2 linked regions of the Saccharomyces cerevisiae S288C genome follow. The protein of the gene in region 1 purifies or fractionates together with the protein of each later gene. This does not show direct contact. Each region holds a gene or a part of one and is shown on either strand. Other genes may lie near its edges.

Evidence for each region.
Region 2: the proteins of YJR012C (region 1) and PEX7 purify together in Saccharomyces cerevisiae (affinity purification with mass spectrometry, with the first as the bait; 2 studies listed by BioGRID). This does not show direct contact.

The regions. Positions count from the first base shown.
Region 1 is NC_001142.9:459,062-462,134, forward strand, and holds YJR012C (uncharacterized protein), read right to left. Parts: upstream 1,133-3,073; coding exon 734-1,132; downstream 1-733. Other genes in the region: CAL4 (Cal4p), read right to left, coding at 1-365; GPI14 (glycosylphosphatidylinositol-alpha 1,4 mannosyltransferase I), read left to right, coding at 1,321-2,532; TMA22 (Tma22p), read left to right, coding at 2,768-3,073.
Region 2 is NC_001136.10:739,784-743,651, reverse strand, and holds PEX7 (Pex7p), read left to right. Parts: upstream 1-2,051; coding exon 2,052-3,179; downstream 3,180-3,868. Other genes in the region: ubiquitin-protein ligase SAN1, read left to right, coding at 1-1,610; DOP1 (Dop1p), read left to right, coding at 3,655-3,868. UniProt on the Saccharomyces cerevisiae protein: Receptor required for the peroxisomal import of proteins containing a C-terminal PTS2-type peroxisomal targeting signal, such as 3-oxoacyl-CoA thiolase. Specifically binds to cargo proteins containing a PTS2 peroxisomal targeting signal in the cytosol.

The sequences.
Region 1 (3,073 bases):
ATCAAATGCCGGCATTTTCCAGGAGTTTCAAAGTGATCTAACTCACAACTATCCAATAATAAGCGGAATCCTGTCCTTAAATCGTAAATTAGTTCACAAATATCACTCTTTAGTGCAAGGAGTTCTTTTTTGTGTGAAATAAATGTGCCAGAATGGTTTAATACTTCGTCTTCCTGCTTTTGAGCCAGATAATACAAGACATACATTAGATCCGTCATATAATGTGAAGTATTCAGAATAAACGGCACTATTTGATTCAGCAGTATAACATTTTTCTTGTTGTTTTCGGATATTCCGTCATTGAGCAAAAGTTTGGTTTGTAAAGACGAAACTGTACTTTCATTAGATTCTCGTGTTTCACTCATACGCCTTTATATGCTATCACAGTTACCTTATTTGTCCTTTTTCTTGTAGAGCTATTCTCTATTCTGCTTTGACTTAACTAGCGTGAAATTAAAACCAACGCCGCTTATCTAATCACAATAAAAGATCAGACTGTGAAATTAATAAAAAGGAAAGGATAAAACGACAGATATCGCACTAACTTTGTTAGAAACATTATGCAGACAAAAGAAGGAGATGCATGTGCCTTTGTATTCTTTTAAACGCAAAAAGGGCAGGTCTATGATTAAGTATGAATGAGCGATATAAAATTTAAGTAGAAAAGGGAAGATAATAGTACTATATATAAATATATAAATGCATTTTTTTACATACCTGTTGGGTGAATAATTTACCTAGCTGTTGGATTTGCTGTTACTGTATTATTGTCGTCATCATTGCCATCGCCTTTATTGTTATCATTGTTATTGTCATCATTATCGTTGTCACTGTCATTAATCTGTAACTTAGACTGTATATCGTAACATTCAGACAGCCTTGTTAATGAGGTCATGCCTTCTAGGCTTTCTTGATCAATGTCCAGAGATATATTGGGTTTGTCTAATGATCCTTGATGAGATTGATGCTGCAGCTGACCTTCCCAAGGCCTAGGTCTTGGCCTCAATGAAGGAGTACTAGCTAAACCCTCATCCAGCGTAACATTGGGCACCTCCACAATATTAGGTATAGGCTTGTTATTCAGAATGTGATCCAGCAACTCTTCATAACTAAGTTCACCACCTGCTGCCATGCTTGACTCGTTATGTTCGCAATCAATTTTCAAGAGGTAAACCGAAACATGTGGAGCTCTTTTACAGGCTCCGATAATAATAAAAGAAACTTTAATAGTTGGTAAGAACTTGACAAAAAAAAACACAATATATATACATAAAAAAGTCAACAACTGACAAGCAAGGTAAAAGGTGATAAAGTTGAAAGATGACTGGCGAAGAATGGGGCTTGACTGTACTGTCATTCTTGGTAAGAGTCGGATTTTTTCTTTTTGGCATTTACCAGGACGCTAATTTCAAAGTGAGGTACACTGATATCGACTATTTTGTGTTTCATGATGCTGCTAAATATGTATACGAAGGCAAATCACCTTATGCAAGGGATACATATCGTTACACACCGCTACTAAGTTGGCTGCTAGTGCCTAATCATTATTTTGGATGGTTTCATTTGGGGAAGGTCATATTTGTTATTTTCGATTTGGTTACTGGGCTCATTATAATGAAGCTTTTGAACCAGGCCATCTCCAGAAAAAGAGCTTTAATATTGGAAAGCATTTGGCTATTGAATCCGATGGTTATCACCATCAGTACAAGGGGAAACGCTGAAAGCGTGCTTTGCTGTTTGATCATGTTCACGCTTTTTTTTCTACAAAAGAGTAGATACACCCTAGCTGGAATCTTATATGGTCTTTCTATCCATTTCAAAATATATCCAATCATATATTGTATCCCAATAGCAATTTTTATATACTACAATAAAAGAAACCAGGGTCCACGAACACAACTTACATCGCTACTCAATATCGGTTTGAGTACTCTAACAACTTTGCTTGGATGTGGTTGGGCAATGTACAAGATATACGGATACGAGTTTCTGGATCAGGCATACTTGTACCACTTATACAGAACGGATCACAGACACAATTTTTCAGTGTGGAACATGCTATTGTATTTAGATTCTGCAAATAAGGAAAATGGTGAGTCCAATCTCTCAAGGTACGCATTTGTGCCTCAATTGCTGCTTGTTTTAGTAACTGGATGTCTTGAATGGTGGAATCCCACATTCGATAACCTATTGAGGGTTTTATTTGTGCAGACGTTCGCATTTGTGACATATAATAAAGTGTGCACATCGCAATATTTTGTTTGGTACCTGATCTTTCTACCATTTTACCTCTCAAGAACGCACATTGGTTGGAAGAAGGGGCTTTTAATGGCCACGCTTTGGGTAGGAACGCAGGGAATTTGGTTAAGCCAAGGTTACTATTTGGAATTCGAAGGCAAGAATGTATTCTATCCTGGACTATTTATTGCAAGCGTGTTATTTTTCGTCACCAATGTGTGGCTACTGGGTCAATTTATTACTGATATTAAGATACCGACGCAACCCACAGTTTCCAACAAAAAGAACAACTGACTGACGTGAACTTGCACCATGTACATCAATTCTATAAATCTACTCATATAATGAATGTGTAAATATGAAAAAAAAAATGCAAAAGCGCACCACCAAAAGAGAAAAAAGCTGAAAAAAAAAAGGAAAAAGATACTTGATGTGATGTGTGAGTGAAAAAATTATTAATTCCTACTGGATAAAATCACCCCAAGGAAACAGTTCAAGAGCTAAACTAAAGAAAAGCATATTGCATAAAATGTTAAGAGAAGTCATCTATTGTGGAATTTGCTCCTACCCACCAGAGTACTGCGAGTTTTCAGGAAAATTAAAGCGTTGTAAAGTTTGGTTATCTGAAAACCACGCAGACCTTTATGCAAAGCTATACGGTACTGACGATAATACGCAAGAGGTGGAAGCCGTGACCAACAAACTGGCTGAATCCAGTATTGGCGAAGCTAGAGAGGAAAAGTTGGAAAAGGACTTGCTGAAAATTCAAAAAAAACAGGAAAACAGGGAACAAAGAGAATTAGCTAAGAAGCTGTCATCGAAAGTGATCATTAAA
Region 2 (3,868 bases), on another chromosome or scaffold:
CCGGTAGCACGATTGCCAACGGTACTGGGCCCAGCTTTGGCATCGGAAATGGGGGCCATCAACCCGACGGTGCTCTTGTTTTATCTTTTCGTGATGTTCCTGCGTCTACTCCACAAGACCGTTTGAACAGCTTCATATCTGTTGCTGCTCAGCTTGCAATGGAGAGATTCAACAGACTATTAAATAGACCAAAAGGAATATCAAAGGATGAGTTTGATAAGCTCCCCGTTCTGCAAGTTTCTGATCTACCCAAGGCCGAAGGGCCCTTATGTAGTATATGTTATGACGAATATGAAGATGAAGTTGATTCAACTAAAGCAAAAAGAAAAAGGGATTCTGAAAATGAGGAGGAATCTGAAGGAACAAAAAAAAGGAAGGATAATGAAGGTGCGCCCCTACGCACAACCGCCGATAATGACAGTAACCCATCGATTACAAATGCTACGGTTGTTGAACCGCCTTCTATTCCTCTCACTGAACAACAACGCACTCTCAATGATGAAGAAACAAATCCAAGCTACAAACACTCACCAATCAAGTTACCTTGTGGCCACATTTTTGGGAGGGAATGTATCTACAAATGGTCAAGATTAGAAAATTCTTGTCCCCTTTGTAGACAAAAGATCAGCGAATCTGTAGGTGTTCAACGTGCAGCCCAACAAGATACGGATGAAGTAGCAGCTAACGAAGCTGCTTTTGAACGTATTAGACGAGTTTTATACGACCCAACTGCAGTGAATAGCACTAACGAAAATAGTTCCGCCCCATCCGAAAACACGTCCAATACAACGGTTCCCACTATCGGAAATGCAAGTTCTGGCGAACAGATGTTATCAAGAACAGGCTTTTTTTTAGTGCCTCAAAACGGCCAACCTTTACACAATCCAGTCCGTTTACCGCCTAATGATAGCGATAGAAACGGTGTCAACGGGCCGAGCTCAACTACTCAAAATCCACCCTCTAATTCTGGTGGTTCGAATAACAATCAAAGTCCGCGCTGGGTTCCCATCCCTTTGACTTTGTTCCAATTCCACAGTCCAAATCCGAATCCTTCCGCTTCTGATTCTTCGGCAAGCCCATCAGCAGCGAACGGTCCAAACTCAAATAACACTAGTAGTGACGCTACAGACCCTCACCACAACAGACTAAGAGCCGTTTTGGATCACATATTCAACGTTGCTCAGAGGGGAACTTCTGATACCTCTGCAACAACAGCACCCGGAGCACAAACTGTTCACAACCAAGGACGTAATGACTCATCGTCCTCTGATACAACGCAAGGAAGTTCCTTTTTGGAAAATATTTCACGATTAACAGGCCATTTTACGAATGGCTCAAGAGACAACAATAACGACAATAACCATAGCAATGATCAACAACGAGGTGGAAGTACTGGTGAGAACAACAGAAATAACTTGTTTTCCTCCGGTGTTGCCAGTTATAGAAATCAAAATGGTGATGTTACTACCGTCGAACTACGCAACAACAATTCTGCTGCCTTTCCTCCTACAGACGAAAATCCCTCTCAAGGCCAAGGTTCAAGCAGTTCGGACACCACCATTCATAACGACGTCCCTAATGATAACAATGAGCAACGATCATCACAATAAACAATACCGCTTCTGAAGTATGTTAATATGAAAATATGTCCTATTGGCAGTCATCCATTTTCAGACATTATTTTCTACTCCTTTTACCTTTTTTTTATCTGCATCTTTATATATATATATCATATACTTATTTTTCTTTACTTCTACTTAAAGTTCTATAATCATTGTTAATCAGAAATTTGCATGTCTCCAGCAAGTAAATATGAAGGCCGAGAAATTAAACCACCGACATAACCTCCTCTGAAAAGTCGTTTCGCAAAACAGTAAAAGGTGAAAACACTTTTAAGAACTGTGGAACACAAACTGTGTTTTCTTACCATAAAATCTTTTACCGGAGGTCGAAATCGTTTTCTTTCTGATTTGGAATTCGACGCTCGAAAAGTGCAGAGATCTCATATTGTTAACGGACTATCATCTAACTTTTTGCATAATTTATACAACATGCTCAGATATCATATGCAAGGTTTTAGTGGGTACGGTGTCCAGTATTCTCCCTTTTTCGATAACAGGCTCGCGGTAGCTGCTGGTTCAAACTTTGGCCTGGTTGGGAATGGAAAATTGTTCATCCTTGAGATTGATCGTTCAGGTAGAATAGTGGAAGTTAATTCCTTTTTAACACAGGATTGTTTATTTGATCTTGCATGGAACGAAAGTCATGAAAACCAAGTGTTGGTTGCACAGGGCGATGGTACATTACGCTTGTTTGATACAACCTTTAAAGAGTTTCCTATTGCTATATTTAAAGAGCATGAACGAGAAGTATTCAGTTGTAATTGGAACTTAGTCAACAGGCAGAATTTCTTAAGTAGTTCATGGGATGGATCTATAAAAATATGGTCCCCTCTAAGAAAGCAAAGTTTAATGACCCTTACTCCACGACCTTTAGAGATTACCAAAATGGTGGATCCATTAAACGCCATTATATTGAAAAAGAAAAGCTTTACAGGTATTTCAAAAAACAGGAACTGTGTATACCAAGCACAGTTCTCGCCCCACGACCAAAATCTCGTATTATCCTGTTCAGGGAATTCTTATGCAAGCTTATTTGACATTAGACTACCTTCCGGCAAAAATCAGAATAATTTTTTAGTGCATTCAGGACTAGAAGCATTGACTTGCGATTTCAACAAATACAGACCTTATGTAGTTGCCACAGGAGGTGTAGATAATGCCATTAGAATCTGGGACATTAGGATGCTAAATAAAAATGAATCAGCGACTATCAAGAGGACTGTGCCCGGCCAACTTCACAATTCATCATGCATCAATGAAATCCCTAATGCGCACGGGCTGGCAATCAGAAAAGTTACCTGGTCCCCTCATCATTCCAATATTTTAATGTCAGCTTCATATGATATGACCTGTCGAATATGGAGAGATCTCAGCAACGATGGTGCAAAAGAAACATATAAAACTAACTCTACGGATGCTACTAAAGGTTCCATTTTCAATTTCACACAGCATTCAGAATTCGTATTTGGAGCTGACTGGAGCTTGTGGGGAAAGCCAGGATATGTGGCTTCAACTGCATGGGATGGAAATTTATTTGTATGGAACGGCTTAGGTTGACACATATTCTTTTTACACAAATTTTTTGCATTATTTAAACTTTAAAATTATTTTTCAATCATTGTCAGCATTTGGCAGATCATTTACGTAATTATTTAATATTCTCAACACGAAATTATGGGTAACAACGCTTCTGACTGTGCAAAAGAACATTCTAAAAACATACCTACGGCAAAAACTGCTAATTACTCAAATTAATCAAGTTTTTATAACGACATAAGCGAGTGCTGAAAGAAGGAATATTTAGAGTCCGATTACCGTTTTATTAATAAACGACATACTTATATATTTGCTGGGCGTTCCACCCGAGGCACGTGATCAAAAGTGATTTTGGTTTTTTCAAAGGCTAAGCTTCGATCTCACTGGAAAAGGAACAATAGCAATACCTAATATAAAACTCAAGCCTCCCAATTATGTTTATAACGGTGAAATAAAAAGCCGACAGAGCAGCTTTTTCTGAGAGGATCGACAAAAAATGTCCTTACCACTAAAGCCCCTTACAATTGACTCAAATAATAAACAACTAGACTCCAAACAGAAGAAGTTTCGTGCTAATGTCGAGCGAGCATTAGAAAGATTTGACTCTGTAACAGAATGGGCGGACTATATTGCTAGTTTGGGAACACTATTAAAGGCGTTGCAAAGCTGGTCACCTAAATTTCAGAATGTAAGGTACTATGTTCCTTCTC